3 linked regions of the Lonchura striata genome follow. The protein of the gene in region 2 interacts with the protein of the main gene of each other region in a biochemical or structural test. Links are inferred from orthologs where the notes say so. Each region holds a gene or a part of one and is shown on either strand. Other genes may lie near its edges.

Evidence for each region.
Region 1: of the proteins of CDC7 (region 2) and CLSPN, one has a biochemical effect on the other in vitro, tested with the Homo sapiens proteins (3 studies listed by BioGRID, with this or other methods). The link is inferred for Lonchura striata from reciprocal best matches to the Homo sapiens genes CDC7 and CLSPN.
Region 3: the proteins of CDC7 (region 2) and MCM3 form a complex in vitro, tested with the Homo sapiens proteins (2 studies listed by BioGRID and IntAct, with this or other methods). The link is inferred for Lonchura striata from reciprocal best matches to the Homo sapiens genes CDC7 and MCM3.

What each region holds. Positions count from the first base shown.
Region 1 is NC_134628.1:3,986,468-3,993,571, forward strand, and holds the start of CLSPN (claspin), read right to left. Parts: upstream 3,009-7,104; 5' UTR 2,939-3,008; coding exon 2,900-2,938; intron 2,133-2,899; coding exon 2,003-2,132; intron 1,450-2,002; coding exon 989-1,449; intron 688-988; coding exon 523-687; intron 1-522.
Region 2 is NC_134611.1:20,213,748-20,221,084, reverse strand, and holds the start of CDC7 (cell division cycle 7-related protein kinase), read right to left. Parts: upstream 3,015-7,337; coding exon 2,921-3,014; exon of another isoform or gene 2,914-2,920; intron 767-2,913; coding exon 680-766; intron 1-679. UniProt on the Homo sapiens protein: Kinase involved in initiation of DNA replication. Phosphorylates critical substrates that regulate the G1/S phase transition and initiation of DNA replication, such as MCM proteins and CLASPIN.
Region 3 is NC_134605.1:110,349,677-110,356,664, forward strand, and holds the start of MCM3 (DNA replication licensing factor MCM3), read right to left. Parts: upstream 3,009-6,988; 5' UTR 2,788-3,008; coding exon 2,707-2,787; intron 2,252-2,706; coding exon 2,139-2,251; intron 1,583-2,138; coding exon 1,374-1,582; intron 824-1,373; coding exon 693-823; intron 502-692; coding exon 263-501; intron 1-262. UniProt on the Homo sapiens protein: Acts as a component of the MCM2-7 complex (MCM complex) which is the replicative helicase essential for 'once per cell cycle' DNA replication initiation and elongation in eukaryotic cells.

The DNA.
Region 1 (7,104 bases), on a different chromosome or scaffold from region 2:
CTATCAAGGGCAAACACATCACAAATAACTGTACAGAACTAACACTGGTCAGCAAAGCCAGCAAGGTTCTCATAAACCAGCACAAACCCCACACAAGGGCAGATTCCAAAGCTCCTGCTACAGCATTATCTTTTTAACTTGCCAGAACAACATCCCTCCATCTTTAAAAACAAAAACCAGAAGGCTCTCCTCTCTTCTGCCACAGCAGTACAACTCCTCCATCATCAGAGTTTTAGAACCTGCTCAGCTACAAATTCCTGATAAATCCAGTAACCATGGAATGATTTGTGTTGCAAAAGACCTTAAAGATCATCCCTTTCCACCTCTGCCATGGGGACATTTTCCACTGTCCCAGAGTGCTCCAAGCCCTGTCCAACCTGGCCTTGGACAATTCCAGGGATTCAGGGGCCTCCCCACCCTCACAGGGAAAAATTCCTTCCCAATATCTCATCTAAACCTATTCTCTATCAGTTTGAAAAAGAGAACATTTACAATAATTTTTGTGTCACAGCCAACTGTTACCTTGTATTGTTTTATTTTCTTTTTCACAGCTGCTCGAATGGATTCTAGAGACTCTTCATCCTCAAGGGGCTGATCACTCTCCTCTTCCAAGCCATTATCAAAGAGGTCCTTGTCATCCAGCAGACATCCACTGTCATTGAAGGGAGGCCTCTCACCACCATCCACCTGCTTCCAGAAGAATAAATTATTCCTGTGATTCCCTTCAGAAGGTCCCTTTGGTTCTTTGACATTAATTTAAAATTACATTAAATCATCAAGTGTTAGGTTTTGTACTTCCTTAAACTGCAAATTAAATTGAAATGAACCTGCAGACTTTGCAGGTTAAACTTGTATGGTGTTCTGTGGATCTCAAACCTGCTGCAGGAATGTGGACACAACACTGAAGCTTTGCAACAGAATAACCACAAACAACAATAAATTTAACTTAGTTGAGAAGTTATCTGAAGGTTTGTACTAAAACACCCACCTCTGCCACAGGCTTCTTTTCTTTCTTCAGCTGTTTAATGGACTCCATTATTTTCTCCTTCTCCTTTCTCCTTCTGGGTTTTGCTACAGCTTCTTTTGCTGGCTCCTCTTCAATGCTGTGTTTGTGTTTATGCTTCCTGTACTTTTTCCCAGATTTTAGGGGTCTCTCCTTTTCCAGCTCACCCTCAGGCAAGCCAGATGTCCTGCCTGTTTCAAGGTTTTCAATCTGCAAAGGGTCACCAGTGTCACTGTCATCAGTGTCCAGCAGAGCTGGGCGAACCCGATGGGATTTATTCTTTTCAGTAGCAATATTTTCCTTTTCCTCCCCATTTTCCTTGTCTCCACCCACAGCATCTTCCTGCACAGGTGAGCCTCCATCCTCCTCCTCCTCTTCGCTCTCACTGTCCTGAAGCACCTTCTGGTTTTTTGCTTTTTTACGCACAAAAATTTCTTCTTCTGAATCTGGAGAAACACATGAAAATAAAAAAGGAAAGTGCAACAAGTTAATTAACAAATAACCAAATTTACATCCGTTAAATTTGACATATGTCACCATCCACAGCAAATGAGCTTCTCATGGAAGTGTGAAAAATCTTTCATGCTTCAAACTCAACTTTCCAAAATCCACTTCTCCCCAGAGAACAGCATTTAATTAACCCAAATTGATGTTAAAAGTTTCTAACCTTAAAAAAAAAAAAAAAAGCAAAGCAAAAAAAAAAAAAAGAAAAGCTGAAAACTCTTCACTGGTAGTGTCTTGCCTTGAAATAGTAATAAAAAATCACACTACATAGATTAAACAAGACAAGGAAAAAAGTGAATCAGTAATTAAGGCACATCCCATTCAATATTTTTCTTTCTGTAGCACTCTTCAGAGGTTTAAAGATGCCTACCCACATTCTGAGCAACAACAAGAATTTGGATTCCTACAGGTCAAGCAGTGACAATCTCCTAAAAGGTATTTACTAAACAAAAACTGTAGAGTTGGAGAAAAACAATTCATGGAACTGTTACGGACCTCTGTCCTCGAAGGAGGCTGTGCTCTTGCCAAGGGGGCCTGGGGAGGTTGTCTCACAGCTGCCCTGGCCACTGTCAGAGTCGCTGTCCAGGGGTTTCTGCAAGTCTGGGTTCAGATCTGCCAGTGGAAGCTACAAAGCAAAATACCATTTTTTAAATTAAAAATTTCTTAATGAGGTAACGTAATGTTTATGTAGTCCTGACTGCTGCCATCCAAATTCATTCCAAAACCTCACACACAAGGAAATCCATATGCACTCTCCGTATAGTCTGATTATGCTATTTACATATTTAGTAATACTTATTGTTATTATTGATATTTACCATATTTATCAATACAAGTGACTATTTACATGTGGGGTAGCATATTTACATATAAGGTAGTATACGTGGGAGTTTACACAGCAAAAGCACAGAACTGACATTGGCTGATGTGATGGCATTCACACGGGAGACTTTCACTCGTTATTTTATTATTTATTTATTTTTATTCAGACCCCTCACGGCGGGCCCCGCAGCCCTCCCGGCATGCACCGCGCCCCTGGAGACCGGCTGAGCGCGGCCTTCCCAGCGTGCCCCGCGGCCGGCAGGGCGGGCACGGGGCATGCCGGGAGCTGTAGTCTGCCAGGAAGGGCGAGCCCAGTGACGGCGCGGGATCGCCCGCGATCACGGGTGGCGGGCAGAGGTGGCTGGGACTACTGACTCCGCCACCGGCAGTGCTACCCGAAAGAGCACCGTACCGAAACGGTTACTGGAATCGCCACTTCCCTCGCTGTCCCTCCCGGGCCTTCCACCTCGCCACAGCCCGATGAGGCGCAAGGCCTCAGGCAGTCGCGAGCTGCCTCCGCCGTCAGCAGCCGGCCGGCCATGCCGAACGTAGGGGAGCGGCAGGACTCACCTCAGCGGAACCCTCCGTTGTTACCGGTACCGCCGCCATGGCCCGCCCGCGCTCCCGCCGCCCGGGGACCGCTTCGAGCCTTCGCGCGCTGCCCTGGCCCCGCCCCCGACCGGGATCGTCCAATGGCTGCCCAGAACAGCGCCGTGAGCCCCGCCCCCGACCGCCTTGCTGGGCGGGGTTCCTTGAAGCCACGCCCCAGCCGCATGGACCAATCGCGGCTCCCGCTCTCGGGCCGCCCGCCAGCACCATTGCGCCGCCTGGCGGGGGGGGCGCTCCCCGCGCCCGGGCTGGGGCGGGACCGTGAGGGGATGTGAGGGAATGTGAGGGGATGTGAAGGGATGTGAGGGAATGTGAGGGGATGTGAAGGGATGTGAGGGAATGTGAGGGGACATGAGGGGATATGAGGGGATGTGAGGGACCGTGAGGGGATGTGAGGAAATGTGAGGGGGACATGAGGGAATGTGAGAGACCGTGAGGGGATGTGAGGAAATGTGAGGGGACGTGAGGGAATGTGAGGGAATGTGAGGGAATGTGAGGCACCGTGAGGGGATGTGAGGGGACATGAGGGAATGTGAGAGACCGTGAGGGGATGTGAGGAAATGTGAGGGGACGTGAGGGGATGTGAGGGGACATGAGGGGATATGAGGGGATGTGAGAGACCGTGAGGGTGTGAAAAATGCGTATTACATGGCTCTACGCAGATAGTTACTATATGTATTATGTTATATTGATTAGTTGTGCTTTTGTAGTTAAAATGAAGACTTTAGTAGTTAAAAAATAAAGACTCTGTATAAGGGGGGAGGTTGGTTTTTTTTTTCTTTTTTTTAGGAATGAGATACACACTTCGAGGAACACCTAAATCTTCCAAAGGAGAGAAATTTATGGCTTCTTATCAGAAGAAACTAATTTCTTCAGGCCTTGCTCTGACTCGGAGATACCATGGGGATTAAAAGAAACAGCTGACATACAACAGAGTTTTTTGTTTAGAATAGAATGTATGCATAACCATGAATGATGTATGAATATGCAACAAGTGTATTGGTTTAAGGGTGATTCCTTTGTTCACAAGGGATGCTTGTCATGACTGAGTGTCTGAGAGCATCCAGACCTCTGTTAATTCTTTGCTTTTTATTGTCTTGTGATTGTCCTAACTCTAAACTTTATTACTCTAATTGTATTGCTATTTTTATAAGCATTTTATTATTATTAAACTTTTAATATTTTTTAAACCAAGTGATTGGCATTTTTCACAAGGGGACATGAGGGGATGTGAGGGGTTGAGGGGGAGCGAGAGGGACCTGAGGAGAAGTGAGGGGCTGGGAAGGGCAGTGAAGGACCTGGGGATTTACAGCTCTGTCAATTATCGACATTGCAGGGACAGGGCTCTGCTGCCAAAACATTTCACGTTGTTTCATGGCTTAAACAGAGCCTATGTTTCGTTTTGATCTTTGGAATATGTACATGTCCTGTCTCCAGGTGACCATGTGGGTGAGAACACACGAGTCAAGCTTATCGTTATTAGATACACACAGCTATTACTGTCCTATTTACAGAATAAAATACATGCATTTTCCATTGGCTGCTGTACAGACATACTCTGAGCCAACCCTACTCTTGTTAGGTGAATGAAGGCTCAAACCTTTTGGGTAAATTCTTTCAATTTATTTCAATTTCTACCTTGAATTTCTGAATATTCCCTCTACATTCAAAAGATTTAAGATTAACCTCTCATAACTCATCATTATATAGTTGTTTAATGATTTCTTTACTTAACCTTGCTGCTTAATGCTCCTTAAGGGAAGACAAAAAAGACTTCTGACTCCAGAAAAATTTACTGAAAACATATAAGTCAATGAAGAACTGCTCAACAGATGCAAATCACTTTATATATTTCACAGAATATTTGAAGTTGGAAGGGACCCACAAGGATCATCAAGTCCAAGAGCAAGGTGAATGGCCCATACAGGGATATTCTAGTACAGAATCAATCCAAGTAGGAAAATATTCTACTTTATCCATTTTTGCTACGTTTAGTTCTGTAGTTCTTTTACAAGTAGCTGGAGGGAGAGCCTTGAGCTGGGGTGAGGTCAGGGACCCTGTTCTGATCCCCAACTGGGGGTATTTGGCATTTTTTTCATAATTACAATTACTTTGTAGAACATACTGCTACAGTAATGCATTTCCTTCCATGTCACCCAGTGGAAATCTGCTATCACTGAAGGCGAAGAAAAAATAAAAAGTGTTTTGGGGTGTTTGGTCAGTTTTTTATTTGGGTATTTTATTGATATGGTTTTACCAGGGACAAGGAGCAGATAGAATGATCTACCATGTCAGTTCACATGGAGCCAACAAGCCTGAGAACAAAGGAAGTGAGAAAAGCAAATGTCCATGGAACCCACCACAAACACCACAGTTCTGCTTTCTGCTAGCTGCTGCAAGGAGCTACAGTGATTAGTTTAATAATTAGTGTTAATAACAGAGGGACAGATGCTGGCTCTGCACAAACACACCTCCTCATGGCTGTGCCGGGATGGAAGTCAGAGTCAGGTGACAAGAAAAAGGTGACAAAAAGATTGGCCTCATTAGCTAATTTCTGCTCCTGGGTTGTTACTCATACCTGGCACGCAGAGGCAGCCATGGAACAGGTAAAATGTTTGCCATTAAGGAGGTTCTACATGGCACACAGACTTTCAGCACTGGATCAAGCCCCATATTGAGATATTTGTGTTATGAAAGCTAGTTTAGAAATCTGTTTTTTTACTAAACAACATACTCCTTCCCCAGCTTGTAGCAGATGAGGTGTTTAGAAGGAAATCCACAGAGATAATCCTGTCATAACTCTGATATGTCATTCCTAAATCCAGTCTTGACCCTGCAAATGTGGCTATTTTCAATATAAGGCTGGGTTAAATTACAGAAATAGGGTTCTGACTGCTGTGGCAGTAGGGATGTCTTACTATGTGTGTAATATTTATCAAGTTAATTGGATTTATAAAGCAGTGAGTAAAGGCTTTAGTTATCACACTCAACATCTTACAGGACTGAGCCTTTGTGTTGCAGATTTCTTGAGACAGAGATTGTATCTTTGGTGTTTCTTTTTTTAAAGTACTATTTGTGTTTCCATACATATGTGTTTTTTCTACATAGATATGCTGAATAATAGCATGGAAATGTTGTCAGATGCTGTGGAGTTTGTTACCGGTCTGGTAAAACTGGTTTTTTCCTCAGGTGTTCATCAACTGCTGTCAGGGAATTATGAGAGAATCTCAGATCTACATGAGAATCTCAGATTTCATTTAATTTTAAAATAGTTTTTGATGTTTCAACTTGGAAAATATCAGCCCCACAGGTTAAAAAAAGCAAATAAAGTGGACTCAGCATTTATTATTTATAAAATGTTTTGACTTCTGATTTTCTGTTGAGTCAGCAGAGAGCTGTTGGTTAAACAGAACCCAGGAGGTGCACAAGGGAGCAGCTTGCTAAAATAGCGTAAACTGCTTAAAAAGGCTAAAAGTCCCTAGGCTCTTTATTTAATGGCACATGGCTGGAAGTGTTGTCTCTTTAACAGAGGACAAATTTATTGTCTGTGAGGATAAAAGGACATGGCCATGGCAAGGTTCTCCCCGGGAGCTGAACGCCCTGGTCAGTGGAACACCACGGGTTCCCACCCCTGACGCTTCCCAGGCATCTCCTGGGTGATGACCAAGATTGTGCCATGGATCTCCAGCCCTCATGGATCCTGAGCTATTCTGTGGCCACAGAGCGCCTCAGGGGCTGGTGGTCACAACCCTGAGAGGTTCAGTGCTGTGGCTCACCTGTCTTGTACAAATCCTGTTTTGTCAGGTGTCTTAAACCCCACTGAGGCTGTTTAGCTGGTACTGGGAGTTATTCGGGGTGTCATCAATTGAGCAGGGAGAATTCCCTGGTTTTGGGGAGCAGTGGAGGACTGGTGAAGCTGGAGCAGCATCACTGTGGGCAGGCAGGGTAGCTGTCACAGAGTGTGCTGGAGTTCTGGGTTAATTATCAAACCTGCAAACAGGTGTTGGGTTTTGGGACAGAACAGGGGAGGTACAGACAGACAATCCCCTCCTTCCTGGTGCCTGAGGGGCAGCAGCTCTCACCTCTACTGAGGTGGCTCTGGAAGAGCCTCATGCATGAAATGCACCCTGGGAAGAGCCAGCAGGTCAGGGAGGGAATCCTGACAC
Region 2 (7,337 bases):
TGGTATTTTTTAAAAACACTGTTTGCTCTCAATAGTAAAACCAGAAATTTTGTTTAATTACACTATCTTTTAAGTGCTGAAGTCCCACACTCAGAAGTACCTGAATCTATTTATAGTCATGCCTGACACTAATTTAAAGGTATTTGCAATACTGTCTTTTGAAGGCAATGGGAACACAAGCATTCTAAAATTTGATACCATAAATCTTCAAAAATAAAAAGTTGTTCAATTTTAAGTAAAGCAGCTCCAACATTTCAGTTTCCTTATCCACTTCTGCCCAAGAGATTGTAGTGGAAACAAAGCTAACTTAAGGATCACCAATTAAGTATTTCAGAACACAGCTACATGTAAGTAGATTTCTCATGTAAGGGAGAAAACGAAGGGATTTTTAAGGCTATTTACTTGAATCTACATCAAAAATTTTTAATTGCCAAAATTGGAATGCTGTTTTTTTAGCAAGGCTTTAATAGACCAGATTTTCAAGAAAATATCTTGAAAGTGTTCCTAATTAATACACCTATGTGCTCAGAAGCATATTAGAATTCCTAGAGACCATGTAATAAGTCAAGAAAAGGCATTTGGCTTAAATTGTGTATATTAGGATCTTAGATTTACACTTTTTAAGTTAGAAATGCCAAAAGAAATCTTAACTCCAAGCAAAATAAAATGAAACATTTACCTTCCCCAATTTTTTCCTTTATTTTAAACACATTTACAAGCTGTGGCACTGCTTCATAAAGTTTTTCAATATCTTTTTTTACTCCTGCTGTGGGAAGAATGGGGAAAATAAGTTAGGAATTTTATTACTTGATTCAATATCTGATCTATTCTGGAGATCACAAATTACATTTCATAGGACTGTGGACTCACATACACAAAGGAAAAAACAGCACAAAGGTTTTCCATCCTGTTAACATTACCATGTGGACACTTGGTATTGCTGTTCTTCATCACACTTCTTTCTAAGCTGCAGCATTTACACATTTTTACTTATCTGACAGCAGACTCCAAGAGGGCAAAAGCTGCCTGGTTCCTAGGATACCCACACCTCATCACTAAATGTTTACATAGGATTTGCAAGGGCAATTGACAAAAGGCAAAACTGTAACAGTTGATTCTGTAGCAGAAGTGTAAATCCATCATATGCAAATCACAAATGCAGAAAAAGCAGTATTTTTTAGATATTTTAAAAATTGGTAATGCCATCTTTCCCACTGTTAGTTAAAATAGTTGGCACCAAAGCCCATGTTTGCTCTGCATCTTGGCTGCTGCACTTCGTGCTGTAATCACTAGATGGCACGACAAGGATGTATTATTTCAAGAAAATGATGTAGTTTTCCATTCAGTTTACAAATCCTTGTTGTTCAAGCCTTTTCTGTACCCCACAGAAGAATTCACTTCTTTTGAAGCTATAAATTGTGTAGAAGCTGTGACTAATTTCTGTGAAGCCAGGGGTAAAGAATATTTTAGTATACAGAACAAAGCACAAAAAGGTATTTGTGAAAAGTCAATCAAATGTGTATACATTTTTCATCCTAAAAATAAATAACAGATTAAATTGAGCATAAACAGATAAATTGTAATGTATTATATATGTAAAAATGGACCATGTTTCACCAAGGCAGTAAATCATAAGCAATAAGATTTTTTTTTTTTTAATCACAGATATGCTGGAATCAAAGCATATATTAACATGCATCCCTAGCCTTCTATGTAGCTTACTTTAAACAATAACAAAAACTGCCTGAAGAACACTTTCTTCCTGCTAAAAACCCAATAAATCAGCTAGTAATTCAAGTCATAGTTAACTTTCAATTTAATTTTTTTTTATTTCAAGATTTTATAAAAACTAACATACTAAAAATGCTTCTGACAACTGAAACCTGCTGCCTCACTTAACTATCCGTTTACATTCCTTTTTTACCCTTTATGTTGTTCTCTCTGCCTCTTCAAATTGTTTTAAGACATTTTGTGAAATATTTCAGGAATGAAAAAATCCTGAGTATATCCTAACAACCATGGAGAACTAACTCAACAACTGCTTTAGAATCTGCCAGATACTCCATTTTGTCCAACACTGAATTCAGATTCCTCCCTGGAGAAAGTTAAAGCTGTCAGACCGTTTCAAGCAGGGTGGCAGAGGCTGCAGTGCCTACTCAAGGCACTGACAGCATTTAGGAGCTCAACAGAGCTGGTTTGTGTGAAAGAGAGAAGTGCTGGAAAAAGTCAGTGATTGTCCTTGTTGAAGGACAGCAGTGTAAACATCACCTGATCTGTTCCAGGGTCCTGAATCCTCAGCTGGGTACAGAGAACATAAAGTCATTGTGCCATCAGAGAAATAATATTAATAATATTAGCCAGCATTTTCTATGACCAGATTTTAAAGTGATTTCTTCTCCTATTTGCAAAGCAATACAAACACTGTTCAGCATCAATCTGGGCATGGATATGCAGGAGTCTAAGAGAGGATTATGTATTTTAAAAAAATCAGAAGCCATTATATCTATGAACTGGCTGACCATCAGGGATTCCTGAGCAAGCATTGTACAGAAAGTGGAGACTCAGGTACACAAAGAGACTCAGAAACAACCAACAAAACCTCTTTCAGTTCAACTTCTACAAGAAAAACAAGAGTGTTTTTATAGATATAAACATATCTATTGAAGCATAAGGCTGGTGATTATAGGTTAAAAGGCAAAATACTGGGTTTGTGCACTTGTCTGGTCAGTTTTATTCTCAAGGGCTGCCTTTTTTTCATTCTGGTATCCTCTTATAATAACATGTTCTGTAATATATTAATAGTAGGTTTAGCAAAATCTTATACAGAAAGGCTTATAATCAATACTGACATTTCCCCAAGTGATGAAGCAGCATATCGGCAACAAAATGCAATGTTCACAATCCCTATTTCAGCACATACCTGAAACCTTGCTGCTCTGCTCAAGATTCCCGTGGAATTCTTCAGCCTGCTGAGGGTGCTGTTCATCACAGGGAGACTTCAACACCGTCTCCATCACAAAACAAGTCTCAAGTGAAAAAAAATACAAGACTTCGAGGGCCACTTCTGGACACCTGGGGGAGCAAGCATATCTGGTAAGACACTTCCTAGCCCTGCAGTCAGTTCCTGAGATGAGATTTAGGGGAGTCTGAGGAGTTCCTCTGTGCAAACTAAAAGAAAGTGTACCCACCATCCAAGTGAAACAGTAAACCAGTAAAGCAATGAGGATGGGGGTGGGAAGGAAGACTGCAGGATACGCTTAAATACAACTGATTTTCATCTCTCATGTTTCCTCATTCACATTAAACATTGTCTTTTCCCTAAAGTTTGCTTTGAAAGGCTGATGTACACAGAAATAGCTGCACTGCACACTGCAAAAGCTATAGAAAGTCAGAAAGATTGAAAGAAAGTATAAGAGAAAAAAATATCTTCTCCATAAGAGAGATCTCTCCCTCCTAGATAAATTCAACAAAATATAATTGTTCATTGCCCTCCCACCACAAGAAAAATAGAACATGCTTATTTTGAAATGCTTCTTCCCAAATCTTGGAAACACCACATAAAACTATGAACTAGTGAAGTCCACTAAAACTGTACAATCCAAAAAAAAAAAAAAAAAAAACCAACAAAAAAACCCCCACAAAACCAAAAAAACCTGATAATTGTTTTTCAGGAGCAAAAGAGTGGCAGGGACTTCCAGGGCAGAACAACCAGTGATAAATGAGCCTGGAAGCAGCAGCTCTTAACAGTTACTCAAAACTAGTTCTATTCAAAAGCCTTCCCTCCTTGTCAGTATGCTAAACCTTTATAGATCTGGATGAACTTTTCCACGTGGGGGAAACAAATTCTGAAAAACTCCTGATGCAAGGATTCATCTGTTTCAGCTATGGAGCCAGAAATACATTTTGTCCCCAAAGAATTTGAGCTGCCTTTACGCTGTCATCCTTGTGTAACAACAGGGACAAGAGGCAGGAGCCGTCTTTCTCGAGCCCCGTTTTTTGCGGGAGGTTTGGTGGAGAGGGACTTGGACAGCGCTGGAACGCGACTGGAGCCGGTGCTGATCTCTCACAGGCAGGCACTCCCGCTGCTAGGGTGAGGAGGCAGATCAGATACCCCTGTTCCGAGCGGGCAGCACCATGGCCCCAGCAGCAGCACAAGGGCTGCACACACTGATACAGAACAGCCGCCGGCTACAGGCGAGCCAGAGCCGTCCCGCAGCCAAAGCCCCGTGCGCGCTGCTGGTGTCACCAGGGCCACACAGAGCGGCAACGCGCCGAGCCCGCCACTGCCCCTACGGGACAGCGCCCGCCAGCGGGGCCCCGGCCCAAGCGCACACCGCGGCCTTCCCCGGCGGCCCGGGGCTCACGGGCTACAGACGGGCCCTGCGGCTCCCGCGTGGAGCCGTCACTCGGCTCCACCCCGGCCGGGCGGGCAGCCGCCGCTGGGGGTTGGCGGGCACTGAGGGGCGGAGGGCGCGCGGAGCGGGGACCCCCAGAGGAGCGGGCCGGGCCGGGCCGGGCCCCGGGGCGGCATGAGGGAGAGGGAGGGGAAGGAGCGGGGACACGCGCGCGCGGACGGGCACTCACGCGGGCACCGGCGCGCGCCGGGGTTTTGCTTTTTGCTGCCGCCGCCGCCTTTCGCGCCCGCGCGCCGCCGCCAATCCCGGCCCTCGGCGGAAGCGGCGGCCCCGGCCAATGGCGGCGCCGGGCGGGGAAGGGCGCGCTGCCATTGGCTGGAGCGGCGGGGCCCGCGCGCAGCGGCGCGGGGCGCGGCCTGTGCCGCCGGGACTGCCCCGCGCGGGACTGCCCCGCCCGCCGCGCTCCGGGCCCCACGGTGGTGTTCGTCCCTTAGACTTCGTGTCCTACGTGTGGTTGTTGCGAAACAGCCCAAGCCCCCGGTAAATTCTTGCGCTATAAATCTAGTCAAACGTCCCAGAGGCCAAGGAATGGCTCCACCTACGCCATTGTAACGGGGGAACGGCTTGGCTTGCAGCTCTGCCGTACTGCCTGAATACACAACAAAAAGGATCGCACAGAATTCAACATTAAATTTCCGTCTTGGCTCCGGTCAGGGCTGTAGCTGCTGTCCAGCAATGAGTAGGATTTGGAAGAACTATTGAAACTATTCAGTGTAAGGTTACCTGATGTTTGGAGTAGTTGGATTTTATTGAAACTAATGCAGTTGTATGTTTGTAAATGAAATAATTTAGCACTTCTTGTCTATTACCCATTTTTGGTCAATATTTCTTCTTTTTTTAAAGACAAAATAATATTACTGTTGTTGAAGAGTAGCTCCACTGCACTTGATAATGCATAAATCTCTTGTTCACTAGAATATGAACCAAAATAATCTTGTTTATTGAATATTTCAGGCAGAGATCTGTAAACGCAGCCCTTGGTAAATAACAGCTAAGCCTGGGGTTGTCAAAGTTTGCAAGGGTTCTAGCTTGGCTTTACCTGCTATAAAGCTGTACTTGGGTTAACAAATTGTCAAATGCAGAAACAGGGTCTACCACTTTTGTTAAGTTGTGCTTCCTATTATACATTTTAGAAGGAGGACGTTGAGATGAGCAGGTTTTGGTTTGATGTGTGGGTTCTTCTTTTCTAAGAGTTGTTCTCATTTGCACTTTCTGTTTAGGGCTCTAAGAAGTCAGTACTGCACCTTGAGATTTAGTGAAGTGTGCCAGCTCAATAATTTCAGTTAAGTGTGACTGTATTTAAAAGCAGATTATACCAAACATTAATAAAATGAGGTATAATGACAAAATAAAGGAGGCCAAATTCTGTTTGTTCTTATATCCACTTACAGAAGTTCAGAGGGCATCATAAGCTTTCATGAGTGCAGGTTTGTCCTAGTGCTTATGACAAGCAACATCATTCTAAATTAACCTCTTGGGACAATCTTACCTACAGCCATTTCTGAATACTGTTGAACCAGGAATTCTATTTGCCAGTTAATACTTGCAAAATAGCTGCTGATTATTTACAGGTTGCATACTTAGCTCTGCTGCCTCCTGGCCAGGTCAAAGTTTAATCCAACTTCCTTGGCCTCCCTGCCTTGGAGTTGCCCTCATGTGGAATACCAAATCACCTCCCTTTCTGTACAGCTCCTGTTATAGGCACTTCTCTGTCAGTCATACTCGGACCAGCTTCCTCCTCATCACTTCAGTTGCACTTTCACACAGCAAGAAATCTGCTTTCTTTATATCTTCTTATCAAGACCCTGTCTAGCTGTGGTTTCTTTCCCTGCAATGTCTCAATTTATCTTGGTTTCAACACCTAAAATTATTTTCATTTAGACCCAGGTAATTTATCTAGCTTGATCATTAGCTCCTCTCAATTTTCTCCTTTCTTATTGATTCAAATATGTTGTGCTCTCTCATGTCATCCTTCTAGTGATTCTGGTTCTCTATCATATCAAAATGTTTTTTTTGTTCCCATGAGCATAACTGGCCTTTATACTATAATCTCATACTGTTTCTTAATTTATTGCTCCACTCTTTTTAGCCTACCAGAAATTCCAGCCTTGATGCTTGCCTTCATTTATGTCTTTTTACCTTCTTCTTTCTCCTCTGTTTAAGGAGGAAGTTAAGTCAAATTGGATATTACTCTTCTTATATCTTCTCAAAAGTTACCTCTTAATCAATTTTTTTCTCCATGTACATCTTCACAGGAGAGAAATCAATTATATGTGCCATTTCCACTCTTATTTTCTCAGTACTTGCTTAAGTACCTTATTTAGCTTATTTTGCTCTATTTTGATTGATTATAGAAAAAGTAAAGCTTCTGCTCTGCATCTGCACAGCTTCTGTGCCTTTGCTGTAACATCAGACACTCTCTTTGCTGTTGGCTTGGATAAGCAGAAACTCCTTGTTCACTCGTGGGGCAGAGAAGGCTCCATCTTCTCATTCAACACTGAGCATCCAGCTCCAACCCTGCACCACAGCAGGAACTGCTCAGAAGGAAAGAGAAGAAATTGCATCAACTAAAAATGACAAAGTAGCACATCTAATGCTCTGTGAGCCAAACTGCTGCACTGCCTTCTCTTGTGGCTTTATCTCTAGGTTGGAAATGAAGGATGAGAAGCCAAATGACAAGCCAGGCCCATGCAGAATGTCCCCTCTGGCTGACAAGCAGTCGCCAAAACCCACATCTGGGAGCTCGCCAAGAAAGGATCCAAACATTGCTGTGTGATTGCATCCACTGCTGCCAGAATCTGCTGCTGAATCAAACTTTTCCTGTCTGCCGACAGGCCTAAAGGAATCTGTGCTGACACTAGAGCACATCTATTAACCACTTGCTAGGTCGATTAAACTAGAAGCCTCCCTGTTTGTGCCATC
Region 3 (6,988 bases), on a different chromosome or scaffold from region 2:
GGAGAGTTTGGACAAGGTGGCATTGCAAGGGCTGAACAAGGTGGCATTGCTAGGGTGAACTGTGCAGGGCCAGGAATTGCACTTGATGCCCTTGTGGATCCTTTCCAACTCAGCATATCTGCTAAAGAGGATCAAGGTGCAAACCACTTCCAAGTGATTTAAGCCACTGTTTGACCCAACTCTCTGGTGGTCAGCTGCCAGATTTCACCTTCCAGAGACCCAGCCAAACAAGGTGAGAGGGCTGAAGCCCCAGAAGACCCACCTGAAAGTGCCTGAAGTGTAGCCCCCTTTCTTCCCTGGCAGGCAGCGGTATGTCCCCACCACCTGGATGCGGTCCCCAGGCTTCACCCTGTCCACCAGGTCATCGTCCAGAACCACATCCACCGAGCGTGGCAGCTGCCCCGCCGGGGCCTTCTCAGGCATCTCCTGGATGGTGATGGTCTGGTGGTCCTTGTAGACCGAGAGGCCAAACTCTGTCTCCAGTGGGTTGTTCTCTTCATCCTAAAGCAGGAAGCCAAATGAAAAGATGAGCACCATTTTTCAGAAGAGCAGGGAGGACACAGGGTGCATCACCCACTCTGCACAAGGCTGCTGGAAAGGGTTGTTTAGCAGGACTGGAGGCTGGGGATCACCAGCTCCATATTGAAGCTGGCACATCCTCCCTAGAGGAACCTGCTGCTGCTTCACCTCACCTTTGTAGGGTAGATGGAGCTGGATGGGAAAGCATCCAGGGAGGTCATGTCTGCGTATCGGCGCTCAATTGTTTTCTTGGTAGCTGGGCAATAATGGACACTGCGGACAACTTTCGGACGCACCAGAGAGCCTGGGGTTGGAAAAGAGAGGAGTTAGGGGCTGGGATGTCCCACCCCTCTGTCAGCAGGCAGCCCCCAAACGGGTCTCCAACATTAAGATTACTTGGGTCACAACTCACTGTCAAATATGGGCAGGACTGGCTGATTTTAAAGACCACCCCAACATTCAAGACCTTCAGCCAAGCTCCCTGGCCCAGGCTGCCAGGATACAGAATCATAGGATGGTTTGGACTGGAAGGAATATTAAAGATCATCCAGTTTCATTCCCTGCCATGGGCAAACACACCTCCCACTATCCCAATCAGCCTAGCCTTGGATACTTCCAGGGATTCAGGGGCAGCCACAGCTTCTCTGCACAACCTGTGCCAGGGCCTCCTCCTGCTCACAGCCAAGAATTCCTCCCCAGTATCCCATTTAATCCTACCCTCTGTCAGAGTAAAACCATTGCCCCTTGTCCTGTCCCTCCAGATCCTTATCCCAAGTCCCTCTCCACACCACAGCTCCTGGAGGTCTCCAGCTCCTCCACAGCAAACCCCCAGCCCCTCCACACCCCAGTCTCACACTTTGTCACGATGCCCTCCACGCAGACGATGCAGCTGAGGAAGCAGGCTGTCAGTGTCCGTGGGGACACGTGCTTGGAGCCAAAGCTGCCCTCCAGCCCGATGTAGAAGTCCTCGTACTGCTTGGCATAGGTGGCATCGACAGAGGCGACAAAATCCTTCAGGGCACGCTGGAAGGCGATCAGCTCCTCGAAGGCATTGCTCAGGAGCCTGCAGCACAGGGAGGTCACAAAGCAGGTGGGTCAACCCCTTCCTCATCAGCACTTTTTCCCCACTCCCCCACTTGCTCGACAAGTTTTCCAGGAGCAGGAGGTGAAAAAACATGAAATCCATCACAACTCTGTGCAAGGTGCACTGGCACCAACAGCAAATAGGAGAAAGATTCCAAGAATATCTGAAAAGCCAGATTGACCAGGCTAGTCCAATATATTCTTGAGCATCCTCAAAAGGGCTGAGAGAAGTGGGGTTGGTCAGCCTGGAGAAGACCTTAGAGCCCCTTTCAGTGCCTAAAGGGACTCCAAGACAGCTGGACAGGGATTTGGGACAAAGGAATGGAAGGAGAGGACAAGGGGTAATGGCTTCATGCTTCCAGAGGGAAGGAATAGATGGGATATTGAAAAGGAATTGTTCCTTGTGAGGCTGGGGAAACCCTGGCTTTCACCAGAGGACAAGGTCTGGTGCTTTCTTGTGACAAATGACCTGCAGAACCAGGGCTGGACCTCTGAAACACCTCACAAGCACAGTGTCCCAGCTGCCCCACACCCACCTGCTGGCTCTCTTCTCGTTCTTGCGCCGCAGGTCGTTGATGTTGACGATGAGCCGATACTGGTTGTCACTGATCATGTCCCGGACCTTGCTCTGGTAAATCCCTTGGTCTTCCTACAAGTGGGAGTGGAGTGAAACACACCCAAAAATCAACTCACTTTGCATGTCCGCCTGTGTGAAAAACCCCTCAGAAGCCCATTCCTGCAGAGCTGGATCCCCTTCATCCCACCGGCAAGCAGGAAGGGGCAACACAGGGACCAGGTGCTCCCTAAAGCCGGTAGCAATGGGGGGACACAGGAACCAGGGGCTCCCAACCCCCTGGGGTACATGGCGGGGAGGATCAGGTAGCTCCCAGTTCCCGGGGGCATGGATCAGGGGCGACGGACGGGAACAGCGACCAGGTGTTCCCCAACTTCGGGAGTAGACATGGGGCGGGGGCAAACAGGGATGAGATGCTCCCCAATCCCCGGGGATACAGGGAGAAGGGGACATGGGGACACGGATCAGGTGTTCCCCAACCCCGGGGGCATGCAGGGGACGCAGCACCCGCGCCTCCCAGCTCGTCTCACCTCATCGTCCAGGAAATCGAGGTAATCGCGCTGCGCCTCCCGCAGCTCCGCATCCTCCAGCCCGCCCGCCGGCGCCGCCATTCTGCCGGCCGCCCTGGGACGGATCCCTCCGCCGCTGCCGGGGAAGGCAGTGAGCGCCGAGGGGAGCCGGGGGAAGCCGAGAGGAGCCGAGAGGAGCCGGGGGAAGCCGGGGGAAGCCGAGAGGAGCCGAGAGGAGACGGGGGAAGCCGGGTTGGCCCCGCGATGCGATCCGGCCCCGGCGATCCGCCCCCGCCGCGCTCCCGTTTCGCGCCAAACGCGGCTCCTTTCCCGCCACCGCGCGGGAAACCCGCCCCCGTCCCGCCCCTTGGCGCTGCTGATTGGTCGGCATCTCCCACCGCTAGCCAATGGGGTGGCGAAACAGTGATAGACAGTACGCTTAGCTTATCAACGCGCGGGGGCGGGGCAGGGGGCGGGGCCAGGGGTACCGGGGATGGGGTTTGATCCCGGCTCCGGCTCTTGGAAGTCGCCGAGGGACTGAAAATGCCGCTTTAGGAGGAAAAAAAAAAATTAAAAAGCAAACACGAAAACAACAAACCCACCCAGATATAATCTCAAACCAAGAAAAGTCCAATAAAAACTAATTAAAAACTAATTTAGGATTTTGTTTTTTATGTTGTATTTTGGTGAGCTCTGTTTCCGGGTGTTTTCAACCCCTACAGGCTGGGTGGGTGTTGCTTTTTCCTTTAACGTGGCCCCGGTGTGCCTCCAGCAGTCTGGGGATAAACACCCAAAATGGACAGGTCTTGTGGTATTTGGAATGGAAAAGACGATTTTGGATGTGTCTTAGAATCTCAGAATTTTTGGGGTTGGAAGGGACCTTAAAGTGCAAATTATTCCAAACCCCTGCCGTGGGCAGGGACACCTTCCACTATCCCAAGCTGATCCAAGCCCCGTCCAACCTGGCCTTGGACACTTCCAGAGGCAGCCACAGCTTCTCTGGGCACCCTGTGCCAGGGCCTCCCCACCCTCACAGGGAAGGATTTTCTTCCCCAATATTCCACTTAACCCTGGCCTCTGGCAAGTTAAAAACCAGTCTCCCTTGTCCTATCACTATCTGCTTGTGTAAAAACTCCCTTTCCCTCTTTTTTCCAAGCCTCCTTTAAATCTCCTAAGAGGAGTGAGGAATTCCTATTGTAGGCAGGAATCAAAGGTGCCTCTGCCTACAGGGAAACCTGCAGCTCCTCCTTAAAATAACCACTGCAGTATCCCTTAAAAATCTTTATCTAAACTCCTCTTTAAAAACAGGAAAAGAATAAAAAGCATGACAAAACTGTTTTGATCAGCAAGGCATACCAGGCACACAAACTTGGCGGTGTCCCCTGGATATTGTGGCTCACAGCAGTTTTTCCAGAGTAATCCTGGGAATAAATATTCACCCCGGGGTGTGCTGGGCTGAGGCACAGAATTCCCGCTGCCAGATCCCTCCTCTCCAGAGGGAGCAGCTGCGATCGATCGGTGTTTCAGAAGAGGAGCAGGAAACAGCCTTTGCCCCGTTTCCCATTTTCTGTTTGTGTGGATCAGATCACTCACTGGAAACGTCTGGCAACTCTGGTCTGGGATACGTGCAGTCCACGTCCAGGGTATTTGTCTTGTTCCTGAGAGATTTTTTTTATTTTTTTTTTTTTTAATTTTTTTTTTTTTTCCACAAAGTTCAGACCTCCTTTTTAGACCTTTTAGCCCTGCTCTGGAATAATTTGTTGCAGTATTCAGTTTGGCAGAAATAAAGGATTTTATGCTCTGCTGCTGTTTTCTTCCTTGTCCCCTTTTCTTCTTTTATTTTTCCTTTCCCTTTTTATTTCAATTTATTTTCTTTTTCCTTTCCATTTTTCTTTTTTTTTTATTTTTTTTTAATCTTCCAGGTTGCCCTGCTAGCTCCAGATATGTTCCCTGCGGCTGGAATATTTTCCCTGTTTCTGCACACTCAGCAGGACCCATTTCCCTCCAGCTCCTCCTCAAATCCACCCCTTCCCTCTGATTTGCTGGACATTTCTTGTTTTCCTGAGTGGAGAAAGCACAAAGAATGAACAGAGAAAACCTTTGGCGTGCCCCTGGCACTTTCTATTTCTATTATTTCTTTTTCTATTTCTATTTCTATTTCTTTATATTATTTCTATCTCTATCTATTTCTATTTCTACTTTATATTTTACTTTTTTTTTAATGGGCAAATCATCTGCTGAGAATCTAAACTGGCTGGAGGAATCTGTGTAAGCCCATAAAGGAAATGTGATTTATCCCATATAAACTGCCAGAATCCACTGCAAGATTTCCCCTCTAAGACGCTTTTTCTCCCTCTGCAGCAGGCAGAATATTAAATCCAGCAATGGACAGTCTGCATGCTCTGCTGCAGATAAAATATGGGTGGAAAAAATAAAATATGGGTGCAAAGCACCCCGTGAGTAGAGCACAGAGCGGGTACCAGGGTGGGATTCAGGCACATCTATGCAGAATACACAAGATCTCACCCACATTTGGATGGTCAAAACGAATCCCAGCCTGCAGAGACGTGGATGGCTGCACTTTTCCTCCTGCCAGGAGCTGGCAGGGCCCCACCGCTCCTGCCTGAAAGGTAACAGGAGTTAGGGATAAAAATAGCCGCTGTTGTTATTCATGACAGCGCCCTGCCCTATAGCAACTGCTGCGTGCCTGAATAATTCATGGAGCAGGGCAGGCCGAGGAGGACAGAGGGATGGAGAGAGGGGGAGAAGGCTGGGAAGAAGCAAGAAGCCTTCCCTGGCTTTTGGGACTCCCCAGGATTGTGCCCAAGGTCCCCCTGGGTTCACCTCCCTGCTGCATTCCGGAGGTTACAGGGTGGAAAGGCAGCGCAAGCTCACAGGGACGTTTAGCACTTCCTATCCACTGGAAAAAATAAACAGGAATTAAGCACTTAGCACGCAGAGGGCCAGGTCTGGAGGGCTTGCAGAGAAACAGAAAGCTCAAGGGTGGATGCAGGAGCATCCATGGGTGAATTGCACACGGAGCACTTTAAGGGATTTTCCCATCCCTTCCTCACACCTCTGTGTGTCAGCATCCACATGACTCGGTTTCTGAGGTTTAATGGTACCCTGTGATCCTTCTGAGATTCTGGGACGTTGTGGGGTTTTGTTTTTGCTGCTGTTGTTTTTAGTTTGTTTGTTGGGTTTTTTTTCCTCTTAGTTTAACTAAATGTCACTTTTCAAGCCACAGCTCAACTATCAAGTTGCCATCTATTCGCTTTCCTTGTAGGAAGTGAGTAGCCTTGCCTCACCCATGAAGGGCAGGAGAGAGGCTTGTGGTTCATTTGTAGCTCCAAAAATGGGAGGAGAATATCCCAAATTTGATGGAGTGTCACCTGATCATCAAGCAACACACTGGAGTGGAAGCTGCAAATCTATTTGTTATAAATAGAAAGATAATAACACAGAATGCAATGTTTGGAATGGAAAAAAGTCACTTTTTAGAACTGAAATTATGTGGAGAAGGGAGACCACCTATGAGATGTCTTTATCAGGGTAAATTTTGCATTTTCCAAGGGATTAAAGGGATTTATATTTACTGGGCTCTCCTGAAGCTACAGTTGCAGGAGCTGAACCCTAACCGGGGCATGAATTCTCTCTCAAAAGCAGAGTGTTGTCCTGACTCTCCTCACAAATAATTTAATGCTGAAGGGGCCCTTCTTAATCTTCTCTCCTGACCTTTTCCCTTACATAGGCTGGAGAATTTCACCCCTTTGCATCTTCACCCAGCTCAGGCATTTCTGACATAATTTTCTTTAAATATTTGCTATTCCCACACACTCTGGTAAATCTTTAAACGGTTCTAGCTCTTGGGTTTTTTTCCTAATTGTGGAGAAGAAAACATGGAAAACTACTATCAGGGTGTGTAAATAGAATTTCTTTACTGAAAGGCACAGGGAGCTGCTGGTATCTGACCAGGAGAGCACAGGAAAGTGGGTAAGGAGTTAAAGCTCTGACCTTCAGTGTGTTTGGATGGGCTGTAACCACCTTCTTTCTTCCCAGAGTAGGAGCCCAGAGCATATGGATCTGTTTTTCCTCCCAGATGCCTCTAGCATGCTCCTAACACAGTGATGGGAACATAAAATCTTGTGATCCTGCTCCTGATGTACAGCTACCCCAGATCCCGTGGGTGTTCATTCTGTTTTCCTGCTGTGCAGGAGGAAAATACAGCAATTAATAGAAAACCAAAACAAACCCACACAGGCCCTGCCTGCGGGCATAAGGACAACTGAATTTCAAATAAAAC